Linked DNA regions of Sus scrofa. The protein of the gene in region 6 purifies or fractionates together with the protein of the main gene of each other region. This does not show direct contact. Links are inferred from orthologs where the notes say so. Each region holds a gene or a part of one and is shown on either strand. Other genes may lie near its edges.

Region 1 (4,197 bases), on a different chromosome or scaffold from region 6:
CGGGAAGGAGGCATGAGCCGACTTGGACCAGAGGCAAGGCGGCAGAAGGCGGGACTCAATGACTTTTGGGAGAGGCGACCATCGAGGGGAGCGGGGAGCTCTGAACAGAGACTGCCTCCAGGAGGCGGTAAAGCGAGATTCTCTGTCTCCCGGAAGTGCCCGCTGCGTGGCTAGCAGCGTCGGCGCGGTTGGGGGGGGGAACGCTCGCTTGTGTGGTTGCCACGGCAACCGCAAGGGGGCGGCCTTGCTCAACGGTCGGGAATGTAGTCCCTTCCCTGGAGGAAGGAAATCTCGCGCACGCGCGCTCGGGCTGTGGCCCCGACGACCCGCCCCCCCTCTCCGAACAGTGAGAGGTCTCGGTTCAGACCGATCTCTACGCAGGCGCAGAGGCTCTCTCGCGCTCGCCCCTTCCACTTTGCGCATGCGCACAAAGCCGCGCTGGCAACCTCCGCAGCAGCCGCGCGCACTCTTCACTCCGCTGGCTGCTTTTGTCTCGCGAAACCTTCTTAGGCGCTTCTCAACATCGGTCCTTCTTTTCCTCCCATCGCCCCACAGGGAGAGCCGGGTGCTGAGAGCCGAGACCCTGCCTCTTCTTTTCCTTTCCCCTGACCCACCTCGCCTCTGTCCTCCCTCCCTTTTTGGTTCCCGGAGCCGGAAGGAGCCGAAGCGCCCACGGAAAAAGCCGAAGGTGTCTGCTGTGAGTCCTTCCCCAGGCGGTGGCGGAAGGAGCCGAAGTTCTCCGAAAGGGGGAGGAGGTTGCTCTTGGAATCTCCGGAAAGAGCCGAAGTTTGGAAACGGGTTTAATCTCTGGTTGGGCCCGAGGGGGAGCGCCAGAGACCTTCGGAAAGTGCCGAAATCCGGGACGGTTAGGATTGTCGGAAGTGGCCGATTGCTTGGACAGGGCCGTTGGGAAAGAGAGGGTAGAATCCGTGGAAGCAGCCAAAGACGGACGGTTTGAGTTCTTGGAAGAAGCTGAATTCTAAGTGGGGAGTCTGGGTGCTAGGAATGCGAGGACCTACGGAAACATCCGAACGTTGAAGAGCTACTATCCGAAAAGTTACGAAAACCTGAGAAGCCTGCGAAACCCTCGCTTCGGGTGTTTTCGGAAGCAGCCGAAGTCGCCTCTCCCTTCGCTCCTCCACGGTCCGGAAATAGCCGACGCGTTTCGGAGCCAGGCCCTGGGGGGAGGTGCGCCTCGTGGGCGGGCCGGCGGGGAGAGGGGCGGAGCCGGGGCGGGGCTGGGCGGGCGGCAGGGGCTTGATTAGGTAGGAGGCGGTGGAACGCCGGCGGCGGCCGGAAGTAGCCGAAGCAAGCGGCGGAAGTAGCCGAAGCGGCCGGATCGGGCGCGCGGCAAGGCGAGGCGAGAGCTACACAGGGCCCTACGCGGCCGCCTCAGCATGTCGGACTTCGACGAGTTCGAGCGGCAGCTCAACGAGAATAAGCAAGGTGAGGGCGCCGGGGGTGCGGGGCGGCGGGCGGGGCGGCTCTCGGCTTCCCCCTGTGTCCCCCGCCATTTTCCCCCTCGCTTCCCCCCCTTAGGCCCGCACGGCGCCCCCCCACCCCGCGGTGCGCGCCTTACTCACGTGACCGCCCGGCGTGCCGCCGCGCGGGAGGGGAGGGGGCGGCGGGCGCATGCGCGCCGCGTTCGGTTCCGCGCCCCACGTGGCCCCCGGCGCGGGTGGCGCGGGCGCCGCAGGCTGTCGGGAGTCCGTTGCGGACTTATTTTCTATTTTTTTAATTTGGAAAGGAGATTATGTAGATTGGGTCCCGCAACCCCTCCTTTTCTCCCGATGCCCTCGCACTTCCGCTTCCGGCCGGGCCCGCGGCCGGTGTCTCCACGCCCCCTTTGTTCCAAAATGGCGGTTGGAGCCCCCCTTCACGTGGGCGCATGCAGGGCCGCGGTGTGGGCCCTTCTCGCACCGCCGCCCTTCGCGCCTTTCCTGGGGGCTAGTCGCCGGGGTCCCTTCCAGCCTAACGTGGGTGATGCGGTGTCTCCTGGGAGAGGTCCGCACTGTGCGTTTTCAGTGTTCCTCCCGCACGCGGTTCTCCCTCGCGCCGTCGCGCCAGGCACAGTGTGGCGTGTCTGCCCCCCATATCTCCTCAGTTAGACAGGTCCCCTGTTCTGTACGAGCCCACCCTCCGGGCGCCGCGTGTGTCCGCCTTTTCAACGTGGCGATAAAGAGACAGGCTCGGAGCGAGTAGGGAGACTTAGCTCAGTTGGGAGGATGGGAGGCAAAGTCCCTCCGGTGATGCGGAGTCCAAGTAGGAGGCCGAGCTAGTGCCGACTAGTTTGGACACCCCACGAATGTTAGAACAAACTTAGGCCTGGAGGAGGTGGCGAGCGCGAGGCCTAAGCTCCTTGTGGTCAGAGGACTGCACAGGGGGCGGGGGGCGCTGGGGTTCCCCTTTCAGCCCAGTCTGCAGTTGGGAGCAGGTGGCTGGTTTAGGAGGAGACAGCGCCTGGGGAAGACGAAGTCGGGTTTCGGAGTGCCCACGGGGTGTCTGTACACGTTGTAACGCTTCACAGCACAGGCTTTGGAGGGGAGGAGACTTGGCTTCTAGTACCTGCTTTGTTGCTAAGTAGTTGTGGAACTTTAACACGTCTATGCTTTTTTTTTTTTTTTTTAATCCTTTTCTTGTGTGTAGTGGCTGTTAAATAGGTATGTGTCTTTATTACCGGTTTCTGGAGTCAATGGTGATGGCAGTACTGATAGTGCTTTGCTAAGCTTTTACACGGCTTATTTAAGTAGATGGTCAACAGCCGTGGGGGACTGACATGACTTCCTTTCCTTTGCAGAGGAGGAAGCAGGCTCAGAAAGCTTGAAAAACTTTCTTTGGTTTTAGCTGGTGAGAGTTGCAGCTGAGGTTAAGTGAGGTAATGTGTGTACAGTGTGTGGCATACGGTCTGGCATTCGTTAAGTGCCTAACGAGGAGTATTGTGAAATGATCCCTAGTGAAATTTCTTAGGAAGGTAATGGAGAGGCTGCCCTGAGCTGCCTCAGAGGTGGTGTCAGAGTTGGGACAGCAGGGAGAGGTGCTTTCCCAGCGTCATTATCCCATGTCCCACACTTGGGGCGGGATGAGCGTCGTTTAAAAGACCGGGAACACTGAGGTTGGAAGGTACGGTTGCTGTTTTGTGGTTTTATGCAGTTGGTAGACAGAAGAGCTGAAGCTGATCCTGAGTCTGGCTGCAAAACCACGTGCCCCTAGGCTGGACTGCTAGATGGAACTGAATGAACCTTCCTTGGGGCACTTGCACACGTGCTGCTTGGTTTCTCTTGGGTGTCCCCACTGGTACTGGCACGTCCCTTGGGCTGGTGGAGTTGTTCCCACAACAAAGTGATCACAGCGTTTTGAGTAACCACAGCTGCCTTTCCTTCCTGACCTGTTTGGGTTGAGGCAGGGAACCTACTGTTGCTTTAAGGGGAAGCTTTGCCCTAGTATCGTTGTGCCTGTGGGTCTTTGTCTCTGTGGTCCAAGCCTCCTCCAAGCCTCAGTCCCTGCCTTGTGCACCTGTGTCTCCAGGGAATTAATTTCCTTGTCTGTGTCTCAGGCACCCAGCAGGCGCCACTTCTTCCTCTGTGTCTGTTCCTCTCTGCCTGCTTGTCTGTTTCAGAACCAAAGCCACAAAAGACGCTGTTTTTATAGTTGGCCCATCTTTCAAGAGTGGAGCCAGAGGCCCAGAGCCTCAGGCCAGCACACCTCTGGGCCCTCAGTGTCATGCTTACCTGCTACTTCATGCTACTTGCCTCCTGGTTCCAGGCTTGGATTTGTTTTTCGTGTTCAGTCTGTGTCTTCAAGGAGGTAACCGCTTGTCTTTAGGGGCTCCCGCCAGACCCTGGAGTGTTCTGGCTGCCCCATGTTGAGTATTGCCTAGTGCTTAACTGCACTTGTGGGCATTTCAGTGTTCACAACTTCCTTGCTTTTTGGCCAGGGGCAAGTCACATGACCTCCCTGAGCCTCAGTTTTCCCATCTGTCAGGTGAGCCTCTAGCAGTGTCTCCCCAAGGTAACAAGATTAAGTTCAAGTAGAGCTAGCACAGGATCTAGTCTTAGGTACCATTGCAGTGTTGGCTGGAATTTTTTTTTCTGTTTTCCAAGGTGCGTGTTTTTCTGTCTTTTAGTGGTTCTGGAGTTTGAGTTCACTTGTGAAAAGTTTTATGTTTAATTGCATCAGAAAAACATGTGAGGCAAAAGC
Region 2 (4,065 bases), on a different chromosome or scaffold from region 6:
ATGTATAAATCAAGACTGGAAAAGAAATATCCTCCCAAATGGTTATCTTTAGATATCTACAAGCGATTTTCGTCTTTTCTTTAAAGACATTTTATGTAATGTCCTACTTTTTACAATATTCGCTTTATGTGTTTTAACTAATTTAATCCTCACAACAGTAGGTAACACTATAAACTATAGCTTCTACTTTACAGTTTTTTTACGAGCAAGACACTAGACATAGAAAGTTTCAGTAACTTTTTCAAGTTACTCACTGTAGAAGGCCTAAATTCAAAACCAAACCAATATATTAAGAAATAGTCATCTGAAAAAGAATGGGTGCATTTTTTTTCATGCATCACTGAATCATTCTGTCGTACAGCAGAAATTATCAAATTGTAAATCAACTATACTCCTTTAAAACTTAATTAAAAAAAAAAAAAAGTTCCTGCTGTGGTCACTGGGATCACAGGTTCAATCCCTGGCCCAGCACCGTGGGTGGATTAAGAATCCGGCACTGTAGGCACTGCCGCAGCTGTGCCCTAGGTCAAAACTAGGGCACGGATATGATCCCTGGCCTGGGAACTCCAGATACCTCATGGCAGCCTAAATAAATAAATAAATGGAGAAACAGCCTTCCATCATTTTGTATATAAATCCAAGAGTTTATCCTCATTTGGATTATGTCTCCTAGAAGACCATCTGCACAGCAATAGGCAATGTTATTAAGTCCAAATATATTCTGTGCTAAATCTTTCCTTTAGGCCTTGTTACTCATTAAATTTGAGGCTATTACATTTTCCTTAAGTGCAACCTATCATAGTGATTGGCATTCTCCCTCTACATCAGTTTATAGCAAAAGATACGGATCCTGAGTCTAAATTACACGCAGAGGGATCTGAGACCAAATTCAGAACTGGAGAAAATATGCTAAGAATTGTTTGCTGTGATGTGGGAAGAAACCCCATTAAGCCTCTGTCTTCCGTTAATGTTTAGTGCATTTTGTTAGCACCTACATCTAGTTTCATCAAACTGAACCCTAGTACAAAAAGGCTCTTCTGTAGTCACAGGTTAACCCTGGGGATAACCGATTCATGAAAAGTTGTGGAAAACTGAAGATGTCTACCTACAAATTCCAACCATGAATAATTAATTTTAAAAACAAGCCCTCAGGGTGAATGGAAAACATGAAATAAGGACTATACTATCAAATTCCTTCCTCCCTAGTCTTATCTAACGCCATCATATTAAATATTAACTATAGACTAATGCTATCCAAATATACATTGAAAGTTTAGTCTTTTCTCTTTAAAAGCTCCAAAATCAAGTTCATCCATCTGCAGCACTTATGTATCCACCTGAATGCTAACATGGCATCACAGTTAAAACACAATTTTAAATTTCCTCCCTAAACCTGTTCCTCTTCCCTCTAATCCCAGTGTTCCCACCTCCTTAGGCGGCACAACCATCCACCAAATTACTCCTATCACCCATTTGGGACTTATCCAGTCCCTCAACATCCTCCATAACCATCCGTTGCAGTCTTTATTATGTACCAATCAGTATCCGTTAAGGAGCATTGCAGCAACTACTTCACTTAACCCATACACGACACTGTATAGCTAAGCATTATTACAGGTAAGTAAACTGAGAGAAAGAATAATTTGCCTCAACAGACAGAGCTTCTAATTGGGGGACCCAAAATTCCAACCCAGGTAGTCCTGATCTACTCTTGACCTAAGGCTCACTTTCGCCTCCAAACATGATTCCAATCTGTTCGCTTCCCTCCCCTCTCCCACTACTGCAACAGCTGGAGTTCAGCAACAAGGTCCTAAATAATTCCCATTTCCTTTGTAACCACGCTAAAATCCAATCTTCTTTTAAATTCTTCTCACCACATTCCAGTCACGTGGCCTTCTTTCAGTTTCTTTCTAATCCCTGCCAGTAAACACTAACTAATCCCCCTCCGCCTGGGGAGTTCTGCTTTTCTTCCACATCTTAGTAGTCGATAATCTCCACCCTTTGGGCGAGACGTCGGCTCAAATGTCTGCCTCCTCCGAAAAGCCTTCCCTCGCGCCACCCTTCCGGAAATGGCGCCCTTCCTTTACACTAAATCCTCCAAGAGCTTTTTTACCGAAACCAGCACTTGTTTCCACACGGCTCCCCACCCCCACCACGACCCCAACCTCTGAGAGAAAAGAGCAAGGACTGTGCCTAGCCTGTTTTCTGCTCTATCCGCAGAGGCCGCAGGGTACCACCCGCTATTTTCGGCACGCAGGCCTGCGTGGACGAACGAAGGGCCCTAAGCGTGGGCGGCGGTTTGGCGGGCTTAGCTCCCCCCACCCCGGGCCGATTCAGTCCCTTTCACTCTACGGCGACAGCGCCACCGCCAAGCGCAGGCTGGAAGAGGAAGTGGGGTTTGGCCGCTCCGGAGACGAAACTAGGCCTGCCTCCGCGAATAACTGGGGGCCAAATGGCGGCCTCAGGCAGCGCAAGCGCGGAGCGGCGTCGCAAGCAGCACGCAACCCGCAATCCGGGAACCCAGCGAGGCGGCTCTCCCCTCCCCCACCCGCCACCGCCGCCAGCTCCAGGCAACAAAGACCCGCTGCAGAACCCCGGGGCCTACGCCGTCCCAACCGGTAACAAAGACGTCTTCCCCTTACCGGAGTCCGATTCTTTGTGCCCGAGAGCACAGCTCTCTCAGGAACGTCCCTGGCTCGGGCCTTAGCGACGGAGACCAGACGAGCGCACCACCACTCGCACCGAGGCGGCGGCGAAATGGCTCCGACCGCTACGCTGTGGAGGCGGAGTCAGTGTGCTACGCATGCGCAGAAGGGGAGCGTGGGGCCAAGGGCGCCCGGAAGAGGGGCGGAGCTGCCGCAACCACGCGACGGGCAGCGTCCAGTCGCCTGGGAGATCCGCCGCGCCCTAGAGCGGCGCCGGGGCGGAGCTTCCTCCTTTGGCGCGAGGCCTCCTCAGGAGGGGCCTGCCGCATGTTTTTGGAGAATGTTTTGCACCTTCTGTCATAGGGACCTGTGGTAGATGAGGTGCCCCACAAAGACACAACTGGAAATCCTAGGTGGTAGCTTTATAGGGTTGTTGGTGATTAAATGAGATGGCTTAAAAAATAGAATAAAATAAATGAGATGGCTTGCGAAGGCGGCTTAGGGCAGTACCCAGCACACAATAGTTGTTCAGTAGGTATTGTAGTGATTCGGCTCCTCGAAGGTTAACATCCCCTAAATAGAAGTAAGCTCGGTGAAGGCGGGAACCCTGCCTGGCCAGCTCAGGCCGCTAAATGAAGTACTTGGCACATCAAGTGCTCAGTAATAACTAGTTTAATAAATAGAAACTGTAAAGTTCTTTTTGCTCAAATTGGATAACCTTTTGTATTCATAGTCTTCGGAGTAATTTATATCCTTAACTATTATAGTAGTCACTGCTAAATTTTTGAACTCCAGTGCTTCTCACGGAGGCAACAATACAAAATATTTCAAGCTGGGGTTGTTCCAGAGAAGCCAGACCAGTAAAGTATCAGGCCCCATCGTACCTAACATCCTTATTTTTCACCTCTTCCCTTTTTTTCCCCTAACTCTTCTAGCTCACTGTGATTAATCCCTTTAAAACTCTGTTTCTTCTACAACCAGAGTAACACAGATTAAAACATTTAAGTTAAACAGAGGAACGTATTTACTCATTAACTTATTTTCTCCATGTTTGCTCTCTTCAACTAGGAATAAAATCATCAGGGAAATACCTTAATCCTTTGTTTCCTTATCTCTCTCAGGATGCTTAAATCAGGAAGTTTTCATGATAAGGGAAACCCAACTAACATAAATGGATTGCAAATGTTTTGTAGTAGATAATGTACACACCAAAAACATCAACAAATTAAGTATAAAGAATATTTTCTGAGGTCGATCTTTGGCTCCCAAAGATTACAGAGAATTTTATTACTGAGTTGTTTATTAATTTAGGCCTTGCATCTGGGACCTTGAGTTGCCAGGGGATTGGATGCCAGCAATGGCATTTACCTTTGTAGGTTGTCCTTGGCAACTAGTACCTTCTAAGATCTCCCTTAACATT
Region 3 (3,500 bases), about 46 Mb from region 6:
GTTGGGTTCTTAACCCCCTGAGCCACAACAGGAACTCAGGCATAAACAGGGGGGTTTTTTTTTTTTTGTTTGGTTGATTGGGGTTTTTTTTGTTTTTCTGTTATTGTTTTTGCATTTTTAGGGCTGCACCCATAGCGTATGGAGGTTCCTAGGCTAGGTGTCAAATCAGAGGTACAGCTGCTGGCCTGCACAACAGCCACAGCAACACAGGATCTGGACCTTGTCTGCAACCTACACCACAGCTTATGGCAACACTGGATCCTTAACCCACTGAGCGAGGCCAGGGATGGAACCTGCAACCTCATGGTTCCTAGTTGGATTCGTTTCCACTGTGCCACAGCAGGAATTCCCAGCATAAACAGTTTTAATGCTTTTCTCTAAGTACAGGAATTAGTATTCCCTTTTAGTAATTAAAACTTTGTTTTATATTAAATCTGTTTCTATTCCTTTTCTCCTTAAATATGGTAGTGCATATTTACCTTAGAAATTTCAAAAATGTATTCAACAAAAAGAAAATAAAGGCTATCTGTAGTGCTGTCATCCAGAAGTAACCAGCGATAAGATTGGATATACAGACTTGGAAAACACTTGCTTTTTCATTATTTTTTTCTTAAAGTGTTGATTGCTAACATATGTTAACTGGAATTAACAGATACTTAAACTGTTTTAGAAGATTACCTGATATGTTTCCTTATGAAACTTTCCAGTATTCTTGGGTAGCTCTTAAAACAGAGTGTATATTACCATCGAGGAGAACCTGGTTGTTCTTAGCAGCAGAGATGTTAAAATCCCTTGATTCCTGCCACTGTTGGCAGCCTCTTTAGGCCTTCCTGGTTTTTTTCTGTTGTATTATGTGTTTTAGAAAAGCAGTTCCTTTTTTTATTTTAAGTTAAGTAAATAGAACTCATTAATTTCTCTCCTAAAATATATCCCGAGGGAGTTCCCTGGTGGTCTTGTGGTTAGGGCTCTGTTTTCACCTCTGTGGCCTGGGTTCAATCCCTGGTCTGGGAACTGAGATCCCACATCAAGTTGCAGCATGCTGCAGCCAAAAAATTTTTTTTTTAATTCTGAGACTACAACCGTAAATGGATTTTATAGTTTAGATAAATCTGTTGAATTATTGAGGGGCAAGAATGGTGTGATACATAACCTTACTCTTGTTTGGGGCTGACTTTATTTTTTTAGGTAACTAAAGCATCACTTGCTCACTCTTATTAATCATTACTCTTATTCTCTAAGATACTTTTTTGTAGCATGAGCTCAACACTAGTGTGTGGCTGACTTAAAATTGTCCTTTGTTGAATTGACTGTATTAGAAGAAACCAATTTGGGAGTTCCTATTGTGGCTCAGAATCTGACATAGTGTCAGTGAGGATGCAGGTTCCATCCTTGCCCTCTATCAGTGGGTTAAGGATCTGGTGTGGCTATGGCTGTGGCATAGGCACAATTTCGTAGGCCTTAGCTGCAGCTCCTATTCAGCCCCTAGCCTAGAAACTTCCATATGCCCAGGTGTGGCCCCCCCAAAAAAATGTATTTGATAAAAGGTGTATTGATGTTGAAAAATGGGTTGTAAGATATCCTTTCTTACGTAAAGTGACTGTTTTCTTCCTGTTGTTCTTCCAGGAGGCTACCATCTTGTGAAAATCGGAGATCTATTCAATGGGAGATATCATGTGATCCGAAAATTGGGCTGGGGACACTTTTCAACAGTATGGTTATCATGGGATATTCAGTAAGTTTTAATGGTCCTGCAAGTGAATTAGGTCGTTTTTAAATGTTTTGCCTGGTTTTCCACCTTCAGGCTAACTCTAGACTAATTTCTTAATCAGAATCTTAACTGTTGATAATCTTTATGTTCTTGGCCAAATGACTTCACTCTGAAGCACCTTAGAGAAACAAGATTGATTAAATTAGTATCAGTAAGGTGCTTGAAGCTCCCAAATTCGAAGTATGGGATGTAACCTTTCAGTTTTTCTCACAGGAAGGAGTAGAGTAAAATTTTTTTATTGTGTCCTTTAGTTTCACCTATGTGAAATTATTTTTGTGTGTGTGGTTTCTTTTGCTGACAGATTTGCTCAGCCATACAATCTAAAACCTCTCTATGTAAAAACCGCAGGCAGTTAACATTGGGTGTTTACCTAAAAGTATCTTTGATGAGACAGCAATTGCTGTCTGTGCACTTAGGTTATAAACAGTTTTTCACCCATGTATTCTGGCTTCTTAGAGGAAAGTGTTAATAGCATTTAACCTTTTCTTTTTTTGTTTTGTTTGTTCTCTTTTTTAATCATTTATATATATATATTTTTTTCTACTGTACAGCATGGTGACCCAGTTACATATACATGTATGCATTCTTTTTTCTTACATTAAGTGTTCCATCATAACCTTTTCCCTTTACCCTGGATACTTTTAGTTTGATGGAGTTTTCCCTTTTATCTCTATTTCATGGTTTTACTTTGATTCACAGAGACATTCGGAGGGGTAGATTTTAACTTAGAGAAAATGTTTGGTGTCTGACATTATCCTAGAACAGATTTTTTTTCTTTTTGTAAGTTAAATTTGGCCAGTTAGTGCCGCTAACAGATATAGACAGCCCCATTGAAGTAGAAGTTTGTATCTGAGCACAGGACAAAATGAAATCAACATTTGTAGTTTTGTCACCATTTCCCAGTTACAGTTAAATCTTAGCTTCCTAAGTAGGGGTAGGACATTTAGTCTTAATTGCCTGTGTTTGTTTCTTAGGGGGAAGAAATTTGTGGCAATGAAAGTCGTTAAAAGTGCTGAACATTATACTGAAACAGCACTCGATGAAATCCGGTTGCTAAAATCCGTAAGTATTTGATTATGAGCTGCAAAGTTTTATTAAAAAAGCATTGTCTTTTCAGTTGAGACACACCAAGTGTATACTCTTGCATGGCTGGTATTTACTGTAAAGCTCCAATATCCTTAAAAGAAGACAGTATTTGTTTTAAAATGTAGTAAAAATATGTAAGATAAAAATAAGCACTGTATTCTCTTTAGTATCTGGAGACTTTGGTAAAATGTATCAAAAACTTATTTTCGATTTTGTTATAAATTAGGAAATGTCAGTGTAGCGAAAGGAGCTTAAACTCAAAGTTAGAAAACATGAGTTTTAGGACCATCACTCTCCCAGTATGTCCTCATCATTACTCATTTCTTCTGAGCCTTGGATTTTTCATTTATTAAGTGAGGCTGTTGAACCAGGAGAGGTCCTGGGAAGTACTTTTCAGAGTGCTAGTCTGTGACAAAATAAGGAGCTCAGGCCCAAAAGTAAATCAGTGAACTGCTTCCTTCCCTGAGAAAGTTTTTCTGTGAAAAAAATGAAGGCTGAATAAACAATGTGGTTAGTTGCTTTAGTTGACTTGCATCCTACAAAAGGAATTATTTCTTTTTTTTTTTTTTTTTTTTTTTTTCTTTTTGTCTTTTGTTGTTGTTGTTGTTGCTATTTCTTGGGCCGTTCCCGCGGCATTTGGAGGTTC
Region 4 (3,500 bases), on a different chromosome or scaffold from region 6:
CATCTTTCCAGGACCTCTCTGTCTGGCCTGCCTTAATAACCCCTTAGCGCTAGGAAAGATTAGGGCTGTCAGTGAGGAAAGGAAGAGCCCATACATTTTGCCACCTGTGTGGACCTGGAGGCACAATGTGTCCTTTCTCTTTGCTGCATTATCGAATCATGGCAAGGGCTGCCCCTTGTTTTACAGTGAAGAGGTTGAAGTAGGTTCGGAGACTTTGTGTTGCAATTTACTACTCCTTGGGCCTCAGATGACCTCAGTTTCCTCACCTATAAATAGAATTTATGGGAGTCCCATTGTGGTGCAGTGAAAACAAATCCAACTAGTATCCATTAGGATGCGGGTTTGATCCCTGCTTCACTCAGTGGATCGGAGATCTGTGGTTGCCATGAGCTGTGGTGTCGGTCCCAGATGCTGCTCAGATCTGATGTTGCTGTGGCTGTGATGTAGGCCAGCAGCTGCAGCTCTGATTTGACCCCTATTCTGGGAATCGCCATATGACATGGGTGTGCCCCTAAAAAGCGGGAGGGAAAGAAAAGAATTTACGGTACTTGTCATGTCTACCTTGTGGTTCGTGTGGAGGCCAGATGAGGTAACAAATGTGGAAGTCTTCTGATTGGTAGGGTCTTCTGCATCCTCCATCCCTGTTGGGTGGGATGTAATAAGCTGTGTTCCTATTGATCTTCTGCCACCCAGTTTTGGTCCTCAGTTTCAGGGCACATCAGAGGTACAGAGGGGCAGGGTCCTCATTCAAAAAGCCATTCAGAGAATTGAGGCTACAGTTGGCCAAGAAATTGGTGCTGTTTTGAGTTAGGTTTTTCTCATACCATGTGCCAGTGGTATGAGTGTAATTAGCAGAAGCATAGAGGACTGCCATCCTGCCAGGGTGTGTTCCCACCCCCTCCACAGTAGTCTACTCCTGTGCCTCTTTTCTCACGTTCTTATTGGATCTTAGGTCCAAGCCCAGGTGATCCAAGAAACCATCGTGCCCAAAGAACCCCCTCCCGAATTCGAGTTCATCGCAGACCCTCCCTCCATCTCAGCGTTCGACCTGGACGTGGTGAAGCTGACGGCTCAGTTTGTGGCCAGAAATGGGCGCCAGTTTCTGACCCAACTGATGCAGAAAGAGCAGCGCAACTATCAGTTTGACTTCCTTCGTCCCCAACACAGCCTTTTTAACTACTTCACGAAGCTGGTGGAACAGTATACCAAGGTGCCTGGGTGTGGTGGGATTGGGTGCTGGGCCCAGGGAGGGAAGGCGCCCTACCACTAGCATGCAGTCTTCTCACTCTCTGCAAGGGTGGGGCTCCAGGCAGATGTGTAAAATCTCAGTTCAGTATGAAATATTGATTTCTATTCAGTTTTCCTACTAAATGCAACACAACTGCTATTTCTAAAGAGAAAGGAAATGAATGAGTGGTAACTGCCATTAGGTGAGTGCCTGCTGTGTGACAGGGCCAAGTAGTGCTGGCCGCTTTTAAATACTTTTAAATTTTCAGTTGTCCTGAACAGATCCTGAGAAGGAGGGCCTTAATAATTGCTTCCTGTTAGTACCTAATTTAATCCTCACAAGAACCCATAAGGTTAGTGGTTTCCTTCCGATTTCAAAAATAGAGACAATCTGAGAGAGGTGAAGTTCTTACTTGTGGTCTCTCAGCTAGTAAGTAGTTGCACTGAGATTTAACCAACATTTGACTCTAAAACTTAGGCAGTTTTTCACCTTAGGTAGTACCTTGAGTAAGAAATATCATTTCCCTTTTTTTTTTTTTTAATTTTTTTTTTTTATTTTAAGGGCTGCACCTGCAGCATATGGAAGTTCCCAGGCTAGGGGTTAAAAAGGAGCTGCAGCTGCTAGCCTGTGCTACAGCGACAGCAATACCAGATCCAAGCTGTGTCTGCAACCTACACCACAGCTCATGGCAATGATGGATCCTTAACCCAGTGAGCAAGGCCAGGGATGAGACCCGCGTCCTCATGGATACTAGGGTTTGTTACTACTGAGCTGAAATGGGAACTCCCTAGAAGTGTCATTTAAATAGGCATTGGGAAACTATTTAACAAAGGCTTTTTTGGTTGGTTGGTTGGTTGGTTGGGGATTTTTTTTTTTTTTTCCTGTCTTTTGTCCTTTCAGGGCCGCACCTGCAGCATATGGAGGTTCCCAGGCTAGGGGTCTAATCGAAACTGTTGCTGCCGGCCTATGCCACACCCATGGCAACGTCAGCTCCAAGCCGCATCTGTGACCTACACCTCAGCTCTTAGCAACGCCAAATCCTTAACCCACTGAGCGAGGCCAGGGATCAAAACCACAACCTCATGGTTCCTAGTCAGATTCGTTACTGCTGCGCCATGACAGGAACTCCAACAAAGTTAAGTATAGCCGCTCTTAAGTACTTATGTATGTAGTATTTTCTCATTTAATCCCTGGTAACCTGTAAGGTAGCCAATGTTATTTTATATTCATTTTATGAAAGAGGAAACCAAGGCACAGAGAAGTTAACTGGGCCAGGGTCACAAAGCTCTAGGCAGTTTGCAGAGCCAAGGACTTGAGCTCTGGCATTTTTATTCTGGACCCTGGCATCTTAATTTTTATGATACATTGTTGTAATGAAGAATCCAGACAAGTCAATACTGGTATTTAAAATAGATCACGGAGTTCCCGTCGTGGCGCAGTGGTTAACGAATCCGACTAGGAACCATGAGGTTGTGGGTTCGATCCCTGCCCTTGCTCAGTGGGTTAACGATCCGGCGTTGCCGTGAGCTGTGGTGTAGATTGCAGACGCGGCTCGGATCCTGTGTTGCTGTCCTCTGGCGTAGGCTGGTGGCTACAGCTCCGATTCAACCCCTAGCCTGGGAACCTCCATATGCCGCAGGAGCGGCCCAAGAAATAGCAACAACAACAACAACAAAAAGACAAAAGACAAAAAATAAATAAATAAATAAATAAATAAATAAAATAGATCACTAATTTATAGCGAAGTACACTGGTACAGATTTGCCTGTGGCATGTTTTTCTTTTTCTTTTTTTTTTTTTTTTTTTTTGTCTTTTTTTAGCTATTTCTTGGGCCACTCCCGAGGCATATGGAGGTTCTCAGGCTAGGGGTCGAATTGGAGCCGTAGCCACCGGCCTACGCCAGAGCCACAGCAACGTGGGATCCGACCCGCGTCTGCAACCTATACCACAGCTCACGGCAACGCCAGATCGTCAACCCACTGAGCAAGGGCAGGGACCAAACCCGCAACCTCATGGTTCCTAGTCGGATTCGTTAACCACTGCACCACGACAGGAACTCTGGCATGTTTTTCTTGCTACACACGTAGTGGAGGTTGTCTTCCCTTTTTAGTGGCATGATCTGCCATATCTGTTTTTGATATCTAGATACAATATGTTAAAGATATGACTTCAAAGGTTATTTAATGAATTCCTCTAACTTCATTTATTCTAGGTATATAACTAGGAAGAATTATAAAAATGTTTGTGTTTAGAAAATGACCAAGTCCAAAGG
Region 5 (4,201 bases), on a different chromosome or scaffold from region 6:
CCATGAACTGTGGTATAGGTCGCAAATGCGGCTTGGATCTGGTGTTGCTGTGGCTGTGGAGTAGGCCGGCGGCTTCAGCTGCGGTTACACACCTAGCCTGGGAACCTCCATATACTGCAGGTGCAGCCCTAAAAAAAGCAAAAAGACCAAAAAAAAACCAAACCACATTCTAGGGTGAAGAGGTCAATTCAGATCCTCATGTCTTCCTAGGGCTTTTTCCTAGGTTTCACTTCTTAACACAGAAGGCAGTACAGACAGAAGAAGAGAACAGAATCTCCCTAGGCTCACCCCTCCTCCAGCTGTCAGTTGTTGTGCCTGTTAAACTTCCACCCATCTTTGATCTACTAAAAAAAATCTGTCTCTGGTGGATCTAATTTCTTTACACTTAACACGCACAACGAGGCAAAATGCAATCACCTGGTAACCAGAAGTCATGCTATTCATGTGGCTACAAACACTAACCTTATCTTATAGTCTCTCTTAACCAGTGAGGAACTTTTCCACTTCTGACCTGTTCTTAACAATATCAACAGACTGAAAGACATCACATTGACTCACCTTCCTCTTCCTTAGTTTGTAATCATTTAACTCCTCTTCATCTGTGATCTTCTGTTGAGGGGGAGGTGGAAGAAGCTCAAGTTCTCTTTCCTTAGCTTCTCTTAGCAGTTGTTCTGCAGTTATCTGTACCTCAGCTGGGGCTTTGTTTTTCACCTTTAAGACGAGACATTTCTATTTTTAGTAGACCTCTTCACACAAGGTTTAAGAAACAAATACACATTTCTTAGGATGTGAACTTTATAAACATTATTACAAGATGCCCTCCTTTGCATGACATGCTCCCATTTCTCCATAAAATTAAGTTAAAAAATACTGTTTTCTATCTTATGCATAGTATCTATCACAAAACCACAGATAAAGCTCTCAAGATATAAGGTAGCAAAAAAAAAAAAAGCACCAAGTTTTCCCTTTCAGATTAATATAATAGTAAACTCTGAGGCTGCCTAGATAAAATTCTCACCAAAGGTTTTATCAAGATGTGTGCTATATTTAGCATTTCAACCTCTATTTACAGAATTCTTCAACTTAAGCCCCAGGTAGAGGATAATGTCCCAGGTGGATAATTACAACTGATTTTTCATGGCACTTCAAGCCAAAGACTTACTCAGTAAGTTCTCATTATTAGGCTATAAGAGTCCTAGATCCAACACAGTAGCCATAATCACATTTGTTGAGTTCAAAATGGGATGGCTTCTAGTGGTAAAATATAATGGGATTTCGAAGATTTAGTATGAAAAAAAGGATAAACTACCTAATTAAATTTTTTATATTCATTACATGTTGGAATGACAATATCTTGGATTGGTTAAATAAAATATATAATTAAAATTAATGTCACCTGCAACTAGTTAAATTTAAAAAATTTAGTGGGGGGAATGAATGTCACCTGTTTTCACTTTTTAATGTAGCTATGAGAAAACTTAAAAATTACCTATGGGGCTCACATTATATTGAACTCAGGGAGCCCAATAAAAGTTTGTGGAATTGAATTGATAATTGTTCAGTGTCATGCGAAGAGTGATGATTATAATAAAATGATAGCTCATACCTAATGAACATTAAGTGCCAGATGCTGTGCTATGCACTTTATATGCGGTATCTCAAAGAATCATCATCTAAGTGGATAAAGGCTCAAGAAAGACACCTGGGCTGGAGAAACAGACTGGAGGGAGAGTATCTGTAAAGGCTTAGGACAAAGCCTCTTACATATTAAGCACTCACTAAGTATTAGCCACCGAAGGAAAAATCAGATTTCTTCTTAAATTATGCTAACTCGCAGGTCTTGTCATCTACTCTCATTCCATCCACTCTCAGCTGGCCAACTTCTACTCCGCCTCAAGGGTCGGTTTAGGTATCACTTCTCAGCAGTCTACTCTGAGACCCCTCACACAAGCCCAGTTTGCCACGGCATGTTCCACGTGGCCTGAGCAGCATTCAAGGTTGTATACTTGTAAAGATACTTTACACTTGTATCTTATTTGAAAGCTGCTCCTTGCTCGCCCTCGTTGGAGCTCCCCAGCGCCTAGCGCGCTACCTGGCTCAGCTGGTCTGTGTGGAACGACCCCAGTCCTCCCACCGCAAAAATGCCTTCCGAGACGATGGCCACGCAAACGCGGGTGCGCCCCCCATCCGCTGACCCTTCCCCTCCAGCTCTCCCGCGGCCCCACATGGGGCTGGCCGGCTCCCTGGACCACACGCCTCCCGCCCCGGGAACCGCGGAGGCCAGGCCAACCCCCTTCCCGGGCCTCCTCCCTCAAGGCTCGCGCCGCCGCCTACCTTGGCCACTTTCGGGATCCTCTGCTTCCCGGCCGCGGTGGAGGCCGCCATGGCTGCAGCGTCAGACCTCGGGCAAGCCCGGGACCCCACAAACCAACCGGGAACGCTCGCCTACACTTCAGGGATTTCCGAAAACAATCGGGATCCCGGAACCGGAAGCGGAAGTGGCTGGGGGACGTTTGACCTCCCGACGGCGCCGTGACGGAGGCAACGTCGTTTCTGTGGTAACGGTCTGCGCGTCCTCCTAGGAGCCGTGGGCGGAGCACGGCGGCTGGAGTTGCAGGTGAGTTGGATAGTGCTGGCTCCCGGTAGGGACGTGGGGAAAGTGCAGGGCGCCGGTCGCTCATCCACAGGTCGTCTCCGGGACTGGGATGCCCGTCCGAGGATGGGTGGATCTATGGAGCCCTGTTGCCAGGCAAGGGGATAGGAACCCGGCTCCGGTCAATACGCTCGAGGGCGTGGAAAAAGAGGCTGGCCAGAAAAACTGCTATTCCCGGCATGCCGAGCGGCGAGCTGCTAGGCTCCTAGGCGGCCCGACGCCGCTGTGCATTTTAGGCTTTGTAGTCTTTGAGATTTACTCTCTCTTGGTTTCTGGCTAGTTGTGACTAAATACTTAACTTTAAGGCTTGTAATTTAAAGTAACTGAAGGTTTTTAAAAGCCAGATAATAGAAATAGAGTGAAAATAAATCGTCAGAGTAATAGCAAATATGCCAATCTTGTGGTCAGATAAACATATTTAAATTTTCTTTGTGCCTTAATTTCATCAATTCTCTTAGCCCCGATGTCCCTAACTATAAGACGCAGATAATATCTATTTCACCAGGATTAAAAAGAAAAATATAAGTAATGTGCTCAGTAAATTTTAGTCGGAATATTTCTTGAACTGCTTTCAGAAACAAAAATTAATATGTGTGTGCCAATGATTAAGAGAATTTTTAAAAATAGAATTTATTTTTTAAGAGCAGGCTTAGTTTCACAGGAACATTGAATGCAAAGTACAGAAAATTCCTATTTCTCCTGCCCTGGACTCCAGCCACTGCACTATCAATATCCACCACCAGCGTAGGGAACCTATGTTGACATATCTTCATCAACCAACCTTCATAGTTTACATAGGGTTTACTCGTCATGTTGTGCATTCTGTGGGATTTGACAAATAATACAGTGCCATCTGTCCACCATTATGGAATGGTAAAGAACATTTTCACTGCCCTAAAAATCTTCCGTGCTCCGCCTATGCATCCCTCCTTCCCATTTTGTTTCCTGTAACCACTAATTTTTTTTCAATGGCAGTCTTTTGTAGACTGTCATATCATTAGAATTATATAGTGTGTAGTCTTTTCAGGTTGGTTTCTTTCACTTGGTAATATTCATTTTAGATTCCTCCCTGTCTTGTCATGGCTTGATAGCTCATTGTTTAAAAGATTGACAGTTGAAAGCCTCTTTTGGTGTTTGGAAAATATATTTATGTATTTATGTATGCAGATCACATCCACCTTTGCAGAAGAAATTTTATGCTGATTTCCCAGACTGAAGTCACCTGTAACCAATATAAAAACGTTTGCCATAGTTTCTGTACATCTTATTATTATTTAAATATTGAACGTTTTCTCACTTTTCAAATTTTAAATAAATTGAGATTTTATATAACTGTGATAGAAGTCACCTAAGGAAAGAAATAGCTATTAAAATAAAAAGATATTTCCCTTGAGTTCTCTTCAGATTGTAACTATACACAATTGATTTGACAAAGTTTAATCATCTATAGCAGCCTCTCAAAGACACAAACACCTAGAATGTTTTCTTTCTGATTGCCATCCTTCCATTTAATTGTATGTGGATTCAATTCAGCTGTTTTTTAAAAGC
Region 6 (4,266 bases):
GAGTGCTTTAATAATTTTTATCAGTCATTGATTCTTTGGCACATGGTAAATCATTATTATGCTGCAAGAGGAATGGTGTTGGATGGTCAATGCTTAAAAACTGTTTGAGTGAAGATTAGTAGTAAGTCATTCCCTCACTTCTTTGGCAGTGTTCCTAGCATAGCCACTTATAGGAAAATATTAAAAATATTATCTTGTTAAAGTAGGGTGGAAACATTTTTATATTAAGGTAGGTAAGGTTTTTTTTCCTACTGATAATGTTTTACTTATACTGTCATGGGTTTTTGTAAAATAACAGATTGAAGAGACTTTGTAGAACCGCTCTCCATGTTTTTGGTTGTATTTTGGATTTTCTCTTTATAAATGTTCAGAGTCAATACCAGGCCATCACTTTGGTGTATCTTTTTTTTTCCTCTTGGCCGCACCATGGTATATGGATGTTCCTGAGCCAGGGATCAAATCCAAGCCTCAGCTACGGCAACACTGGATCCTTAACCTTCTGTCCCAGGCTGGGGATGAAACCTGATCTGTCTCAAAGACAATGCCAGATCCTTAACCTGCTGCAACACAGTGGGAACTACACTTGGGTGTATATTTAGCAGTCACTGGGATTACTTGTCCAGGGGAAGCAGCAGTTGAGCAGTCAGTGATTTTTGAGAACTAAATGTGTGCTGGACACACTAGTGAATAGTGAACAAGATAAACAATATTCTCTGTTGAAACTTTGAGTGGAGCTTATGCTGAATGTTAGAATTGATAGTGGTAGTGGTATTTATGCCCAGCTAATACATGAAATGCCTGTTTCTGTAGGCCAAAAATGGTTAATATTGGCCATTTTATTGGTTCAGTGTACTGTTACTAACTAATGGTAGTTACTTGTATGTTTCTGTGGTTAAAAAGATCAGGCAGGGGAGTTCCCGTCATGGCGCAGTGGTTAACGAATCCGACTAAGAACCATGAGGTTGCGGGTTCGGTCCCTGCCCTTGCTCAGTGTGTTAACGATCCGGCGTTGCCGTGAGCTGTGGTGTAGGTTGCAGACGCGGCTCGGATCCCGCTTTGCTGTGGCTCTGGCGTAGGCCAGTAGCTACAGCTCTGATTCGACCCCTAGCCTGGGAATCTCCATATGCCGTGGGAGCTGCCCAAAGAAATAGCAAAAAGACAAAAAAAAAAAAAAAGATCAGGCAGGATTTAGGTAACAAGAGCGCTGTTTGCAGGCTTGGTTGAAAATAATGTTCTTTTGGAGTTCCCACTGTGGCACAGTGGGTTAAGAACTCAACTTCAGTGGCTTGGTTCACTGTGGAGGCACGGGTTCAACTCCCTGGCTTGGTGCAGAGAGATTAAAAGATCTGGCATTGCTACAGCTGTGACATAGGTTGCAGCTGCAGTTTGGATTTGATCCCTGGTCCAGGAACTTCCATATGCTGAGGGTGTGGCCATATTTTAAAGAAAAAAAGTAATGTTCTATTAAAACTGCCATTGTACATAGGAACCTTTTATGTCCAATGCTTAAGGCAACCAACCATATTATTGGATGTGTGTGTGTGTATATGTATTTTCTTGAAGGAAAGTGGCTGCAGTATTAAATATCAAAGAATAAAGAATTTTACTGGCCTTTTGAATTAAATTAGCAAAAAATTATTATTGTAAGGCGGTGGACAATATTTTACTATTTAATAAGGAGACTGTTTGAATCTTCCTGACTCAATTTTAGTGGTGAAGGAATTCTTTTTCTTTTTCTCTAACAGGATGTACAGTTACCCAGCACGTGTTCCTCCTCCTCCTCCTATTGCTCGGGCTGTAGTGCCCTCAAAACGCCAGCGTGTATCAGGAAACACCTCACGAAGGGGCAAAAGTGGCTTCAATTCTAAGAGTGGACAGCGGGGATCATCTTCTAAGTCTGGAAAGTGTATGTATTATTATCGCAGCTTTATGATTCTTATATTTCTTGTGTGTTGAAATAGGGAAATTAATGCAGTTAATAATCAGGTTTTGTACAAATGACTTTGGATAGTCAAAATTATAAAAGGTGACAAATAGTGATTAAAGGGCCAACTCTAAACAACCTAACGCCTTGGTAATTTGAAAAAAAGTCATTAGATTTTAGAGAGTTGAAATACCTATTCAGTGTATGAAATGTGTTAGTAAAACAGAACCGAAAATGCTTTAAAATAGAATTGAGGTCTTTGGCTTGCCTTAATGTTAAGAATGCTGCTGCTAAGGGATAGGCACATTAGATTCAGTTTTCAGCTTCCACCTAAAAGATCAAAGGTCCCTGTTACTAGGACAATTTGGTACAGGCTCCATTTCCCTCCAGGGATCTCATGTTGGTTACTGTTGTATAGTCTAGGTGAAGAGTGTGTTTGAGTCTAATCTAGATTTTATTTGTATTAAAGTAAAAGGAGATGACCTTCAGGCCATTAAGAAGGAGTTGACCCAGATAAAACAAAAAGTGGATTCTCTACTGGAAAGCCTGGAAAAAATCGAAAAGGAACAGAGCAAACAAGGAGGTAAATAATGGTCCTACACTTGTTGGGTGTAAAGTAGGGTTAGTTACCTAAGATAGTTGAAAGTGTATGTTGGAGTAGTGGGATATAAAGCAGTTGATGAATTTGAAACTTGTGGAGTTTGAATTGGGAAGGGCATTTGTGTGGGAGGATTTAGACTTGTGCTGCATCTCTGTGATCATTAGTGGGGATTGTCTACATCCTGTGGACATTACTTGCCCCTAGACAGACTTGTCCTTCTCATCCCCAGTAGAGATGAAGAATGATAAGTCAGAAGAGGAGCAGAGCAGCAGCTCCCAGAAGAAAGATGAGACTAATGTGAAGATGGAGTCTGAGGGGGGTGCAGATGACTCTGCTGAGGAGGGGGACCTACTGGATGATGATGATAATGAAGATCGGGGGGATGACCAGGTGAAAACCACGGGAAAGGAAAGAAAGAGGTGGTGGAGGGGGGATCAGGGACACATGGAGTGCCTCTAACTCCATCCTATTTGTGTCTGTTTCTCACAGCTGGAGTTGATCAAGGATGATGAAAAAGAGGCTGAGGAAGGAGAGGATGACAGAGACAGCGCCAATGGCGAGGATGACTCTTAAGCACATAGTGGGGTTTAGAAATCTTGTCCCATTATTTCTTTACCTAGGCGCTTGTCTAAGATCAAAATTTTCACCAGATCCTCTCCCCTAGTATCTTCAGCACATGCTCACTGTTCTCCCCATCCTTGTCCTTCCCATGTTCATTAATTCATATTGCCCTGCGCCTAGTCCCATTTTCACTTCTTTGACGCTCCTGGTAGTTATGTTAAGTCTTACCCTGTAATTTTTGCTTTTAATTTTGATACCTCTTTATGACTTAACAATAAAAAGGATGTATCGTTTTTATTAACTGTCTCCAAAATAATCTGTTGTTATGCAGGGAGTACAGTTCTTTACATTCATACATGAGTTAGTAGTTGCTTCCCTAACTGCAAAGGCAATCTCATTAGTTGAGTAGCACCTGAGAGCAGCTTTGAGTTAGAGGTATGTGTGTTATACCCCACATAAGAGTGCTGTGTGGGGCTGTTCAACACAAATGTAACAATGTATTTTTGTGAATGAGAGTTGGCATGTCAAATGCATCCTGTAGAAAAATAATTAGTGTAATAGTCTTAAGATTTGTTTTCTAAAGTTGATACTGTGGGTTATTTTTGTGAACAGCCTGATGTTTGGGACCTTTTTTCTCAAAATAAACAAGTCCTTATTAAACCAGGAATTTGGAGAAAAAATAAACACCCTGGTTTTTTATTTTTGTATTTTATAGTTGTTTACTTCAAATTCTTTGTTCCACAGCAGCTTCCACAAAACCCCTAGAATGTACTACTAGATAATGTTTTTCTTTGAGTCATAACTACTCTGCATACCAACATACACAACTCAAATTGTTTTGCTGGGGTGGGAGTTGAATTAAGGAGACAAGTGACTTGTGGAGTGGAGATTGTTTTGCAAATATGGCTTTTAAATACTGATGATAAAGTTTGGGAACTACATTAAGCTGTTTTTGTCGGTGCTTTGTGGTCCAGTTAGCACCCTTTTTGAGATTTTTTTATTGTGTGCTAAATTGTTCCATTTCTAAATAGAAGAGGCTCAAACATGTCAAGATTTTAGGAAAAGGTGAAACAACTGGAGAATGAAAGCTGTATTTTCTTCAATTTTAGTTCTTTTGATTGCTATTTATAGCCCTAGTTACCATGTGGATTCTGAGTCTATGCCTCAGTGTTACTGAAAA
Region 7 (3,500 bases), on a different chromosome or scaffold from region 6:
CATCAAAGCAAAGACTAAAAAAAATGAAATAATGTTAACTGCAAACATTTTTAATTGAGGTTATTTCTCTCAAATAATGATTTGCTGGAAAGTGGACATTTATCACATACCAGTTTAACAGCTTCCTGGGCAGCTTCCTTTCCACAGAAGGTGATAAATGCATACCCTCTGTTCTGACCAGACAGTGGATCCATCATAAGACGAAGGTCCCAAATGGGACCAGCCTTTTCAAAAAGGGGCACCAATTCATCCTCATATAAATCTCTTGGTATTTTACCTACAAAGACCTGAAATTAAAGCCTCTGTGTTAGAATCCCAATGTAAGCATTTGATTTCAGAGCCATAAAGCTCAGCTCCCTTTTTTAGGGAGTGGGGATACAAAGATCTCATTAAGGAGAAATGGGGACAATTTGAATCCTCCAAAGTAAATCCTAGCCTTTATCATGACCCTTGTGGCATCAACACAAACCAATATTCTATGCTGAAAAATGGAAACTGATTAATAAAAGTGTGCAAAATTTGTACCAACTCTAAATTCTGAATTACGCCTCTTTTTCCTAAAAAAAAAAAAAAAAAAAAAGGAATGAAAGACATGTATAAATCTTCATGGAAATATGCCCTTTTTTTTGGGCTTTTTGGGGCTGCACCTCTTGTCACATGAAGTTTCCAGACTAGGGGTCAAATTTGAGTTGTAGGTGCCAGCCTACACCACAGCAATGCAGGATCCAAGCCACATCTGTGACCTACACCACAACTTACAGCAACGCCAGATATTTAACCCACTGAACAAGGCCAGGGATTGAACCCTCATCTTCACGGACACTAGTTGGGCTCATTACTGCTGAGTCACAACGGCAACTCCAAAAGGGTTCAATTTCTATGTGAGCAGAGAGCTTACCTCTTTTTCCCCATTTTATTTCAAGCAGTGAAATACCAGGAACACAACAGCTGCTCATCTTTGAATTAATACATGGATGAACATCTACCTCTTAACTGTAACTGATGCACTAGATCCCATCCCTTCTTTCATGCTCAAGGACACTTAGTCCAGCAACAATTTTATCAAATTTCCCCCTTTATACATGGATCATTCCCATCAGCACATTAAGTGTAATTACTCCCTTAAAATTTTAATTAAAACAAAAACAGGAGTTCCCGTCGTGGCGCAGTGGTTAACGAATCCGACTAGGAACCATGAGGTTGCGGGTTCGGTCCCTGCCCTTGCTCAGTGGGTTAACGATCCGGCGTTGCCGTGAGCTGTGGTGTAGGTCGCAGACGCGGCTCGGATCCCGCGTTGCTGTGGCTCTGGCGTAGGCCAGTGGCTACAGCTCCGATTCGACCCCTAGCCTGGGAACCTCCATATGCCGCGGGAGCGGCCCAAGAACCAAGAAATAGCAACAACAACAACAACAAAAAGACAAACAAAAAAAAAATAAAAAAAAAAAAAAAAAAAAAAAAAAAACATATCTTGACTACAACACAACCCTTCCCAGCTATTGTCCCATTTTTCTGCTACCATTTGTAGCAAAATTACTCAAATGAGCTACATATACTTGCTGCCTCAAATTCCTCATCTCCAGTCTTTTGAATCTTCTCCAAATCTGGCTTTTAGAACCATTCCAATCAGTCACTAATGACATCCATGTTGCCATAATCAAATGTCTATTCTTAGTCCTCATCATACTTGGGAAGTCTGATATAACTGATCATCCTTCCTTCTCTAAAAACTTTCTTGACTTCTGAGACCAAACTCCTGATTTTTCCTACCTCACTGGCTCTTCTCAATCCCCTGTACTAGTTTCTCTGTCTCCCCAAATTCTAAATGTTGAAGGGCTGCAGGAATCAGATGGTGACTACACCTAAACTCATAGTTTTTAAATACCATCTAGATGCTTATGCCTCCCACATTTATAATCTCCAGTGAGAACTCTCCTATCAACTCCAGACTCATATAACCACTTGCTCACTCAACAGTTCCATATGGATGTCTAAGAGACATCTATCTTTCAATCCTACTAATCTGCTCTTTTCTACCACCTCCTTCACTTCCACAAATAGCAACTCCATCCTGCCAGCTGTTCAGGTCACAGGTCTTGAAGTCATCCTTGGCTTCTTTCTTTCAAATCTCTGTATCCAACTCATCAATAAATCCTATTAGATATGCCTTCAAACAATCCAGAATTTGACCACTCCTCACTCACTTAAGCTGTATCACCCTGTAACATTATCAAACCTATAAACCAGCATTCATTAACAGGGCACGGAACTTAAAAAAAAAAAAAAAAAAAGTTACTGGAGTTCCCATTGTGGTAATGGAAATGAATTTGACTAGTACCCATGACGATGCGGGTATGATCCATGGCCTGTTCAGTGGGTCAGGGATCCAGCATTGCTGTGAGCTGTGGGGTAGGTCACAGATGCGGCTTGGATCCTGAGTTGGTATGGTTGTGGTGTAGGCCGGCAACTGCAGCAATGATTCGACCCCTAGCCTGGGAACTTCCATATGCCACAAGTGCAGCCCTAAAAAGCAACAACAAAAAAAGTTATTGAGGAAGTTCCCATTATGGCAGCAGTAACAAACCCAACTAGCATCCAGGAGGACACAGGTTCAATCCCTGGCCTTGCTCAGTGGGTTAGGTATCGAGCGTTGCTGTGAACCGCATTGTGGGTTGTAGACGTGGCTTGGATCTGGTGTTGCTGTGGCTGTGTCTCAGGCTGGCAGCTACAGCTCTGATTTTGACCCCTAGCCTGGGAACTTCCATATGCCTCAGGTGCAGCCCTAAAAAGACCAAAAAAAAAAAAAAAAAAAAGTTACTGATCAAATGTATCCTGAGAGTTACTACTGTGGCTCAGTGGGTGAGAACCTGACGAGTATTCATGAGGATGCTGGTTCCATTCCTGGCCTCAGTGGGTTAACAATCCAGTGTTACCGCAGATGCACCTGGGATCTGGTGTTGCTGTGTCTGTGGTGTAGGCCTCAGCAACAGCTCTGATTAGTCCACTGGCCTAGGAACTTCCACATGCCACAGGTGCGGCCCTAAAAAGAAAAAGTGGTATTCTGAGATAAAAAATACACAAGAGCAACTGCAATTAATTTTGAAATACAGTTTTTAGTGTGGCCAGGCTCTCTGGCCACACCCAGGCCTAGCCTGGTTAGAATATTTTTTTGCACTTGACAGTATTTGTATCTGAATATTTTAAAACTGTTCTGGGAAGTAAATTCTGCTTTATATTATTTCTATCAACATAATACAGTGGTGCTTCAAAATTACATCGTTTACATCCACATTTTCTCCTACCTATTATGAATATATGTAAAAGCAAAGAAAGCACGTGTAGTGGCACTATAAAAATACAGTTGAACACAGCCAAGTGAGGAAGCTAAGTGTCAGATCTTTTTTTTTTTTTGGTCTTTTTAGGGCCGCACTCGTGGCATATGGAGGTTCCCAGGCTAGGGGTCAAATCAGAACTGTAGCTGCTGGCCTACGCCACAGCAACAT

What was found.
Region 1: the proteins of HNRNPC (region 6) and U2AF2 fractionate together in Homo sapiens (co-fractionation; 3 studies listed by BioGRID, with this or other methods). This does not show direct contact. The link is inferred for Sus scrofa from reciprocal best matches to the Homo sapiens genes HNRNPC and U2AF2.
Region 2: the proteins of HNRNPC (region 6) and DHX9 purify together in Homo sapiens (affinity purification with western blotting; 5 studies listed by BioGRID and IntAct, with this or other methods). This does not show direct contact. The link is inferred for Sus scrofa from reciprocal best matches to the Homo sapiens genes HNRNPC and DHX9.
Region 3: the proteins of HNRNPC (region 6) and SRPK1 fractionate together in Homo sapiens (co-fractionation; 3 studies listed by BioGRID and IntAct, with this or other methods). This does not show direct contact. The link is inferred for Sus scrofa from reciprocal best matches to the Homo sapiens genes HNRNPC and SRPK1.
Region 4: the proteins of HNRNPC (region 6) and SF3A1 fractionate together in Homo sapiens (co-fractionation; 3 studies listed by BioGRID and IntAct, with this or other methods). This does not show direct contact. The link is inferred for Sus scrofa from reciprocal best matches to the Homo sapiens genes HNRNPC and SF3A1.
Region 5: the proteins of HNRNPC (region 6) and CRNKL1 purify together in Homo sapiens (co-immunoprecipitation; 3 studies listed by BioGRID and IntAct, with this or other methods). This does not show direct contact. The link is inferred for Sus scrofa from reciprocal best matches to the Homo sapiens genes HNRNPC and CRNKL1.
Region 7: the proteins of HNRNPC (region 6) and HNRNPR purify together in Homo sapiens (affinity purification with mass spectrometry; 3 studies listed by BioGRID and IntAct, with this or other methods). This does not show direct contact. The link is inferred for Sus scrofa from reciprocal best matches to the Homo sapiens genes HNRNPC and HNRNPR.

The regions. Positions count from the first base shown.
Region 1 is NC_010448.4:59,772,793-59,776,989, forward strand, and holds the start of U2AF2 (U2 small nuclear RNA auxiliary factor 2), read left to right. Parts: upstream 1-1,397; coding exon 1,398-1,446; intron 1,447-4,197. UniProt on the Homo sapiens protein: Plays a role in pre-mRNA splicing and 3'-end processing. By recruiting PRPF19 and the PRP19C/Prp19 complex/NTC/Nineteen complex to the RNA polymerase II C-terminal domain (CTD), and thereby pre-mRNA, may couple transcription to splicing.
Region 2 is NC_010451.4:124,140,664-124,144,728, reverse strand, and holds the start of DHX9 (ATP-dependent RNA helicase A), read right to left. Parts: upstream 2,801-4,065; 5' UTR 2,643-2,800; intron 1-2,642. UniProt on the Homo sapiens protein: Multifunctional ATP-dependent nucleic acid helicase that unwinds DNA and RNA in a 3' to 5' direction and that plays important roles in many processes, such as DNA replication, transcriptional activation, post-transcriptional RNA regulation, mRNA translation and RNA-mediated gene silencing.
Region 3 is NC_010449.5:31,677,306-31,680,805, reverse strand, and holds part of SRPK1 (SRSF protein kinase 1), read left to right. Parts: intron 1-1,623; coding exon 1,624-1,732; intron 1,733-2,742; coding exon 2,743-2,830; intron 2,831-3,500. UniProt on the Homo sapiens protein: Serine/arginine-rich protein-specific kinase which specifically phosphorylates its substrates at serine residues located in regions rich in arginine/serine dipeptides, known as RS domains and is involved in the phosphorylation of SR splicing factors and the regulation of splicing.
Region 4 is NC_010456.5:47,321,949-47,325,448, reverse strand, and holds part of SF3A1 (splicing factor 3A subunit 1), read left to right. Parts: intron 1-952; coding exon 953-1,210; intron 1,211-3,500. UniProt on the Homo sapiens protein: Component of the 17S U2 SnRNP complex of the spliceosome, a large ribonucleoprotein complex that removes introns from transcribed pre-mRNAs.
Region 5 is NC_010459.5:28,109,072-28,113,272, forward strand, and holds the start of CRNKL1 (crooked neck-like protein 1), read right to left. Parts: upstream 2,801-4,201; 5' UTR 2,386-2,800; coding exon 2,335-2,385; intron 712-2,334; coding exon 559-711; intron 1-558. UniProt on the Homo sapiens protein: Involved in pre-mRNA splicing process. As a component of the minor spliceosome, involved in the splicing of U12-type introns in pre-mRNAs.
Region 6 is NC_010449.5:77,966,145-77,970,410, forward strand, and holds the end of HNRNPC (heterogeneous nuclear ribonucleoproteins C1/C2), read left to right. Parts: intron 1-1,745; coding exon 1,746-1,906; intron 1,907-2,393; coding exon 2,394-2,507; intron 2,508-2,754; coding exon 2,755-2,915; intron 2,916-3,014; coding exon 3,015-3,098; coding exon of another isoform or gene 3,099-3,116; 3' UTR 3,117-3,766; downstream 3,767-4,266. UniProt on the Homo sapiens protein: Binds pre-mRNA and nucleates the assembly of 40S hnRNP particles. Interacts with poly-U tracts in the 3'-UTR or 5'-UTR of mRNA and modulates the stability and the level of translation of bound mRNA molecules. Single HNRNPC tetramers bind 230-240 nucleotides.
Region 7 is NC_010448.4:81,218,917-81,222,416, forward strand, and holds part of HNRNPR (heterogeneous nuclear ribonucleoprotein R), read right to left. Parts: intron 288-3,500; coding exon 111-287; intron 1-110. UniProt on the Homo sapiens protein: Component of ribonucleosomes, which are complexes of at least 20 other different heterogeneous nuclear ribonucleoproteins (hnRNP). hnRNP play an important role in processing of precursor mRNA in the nucleus.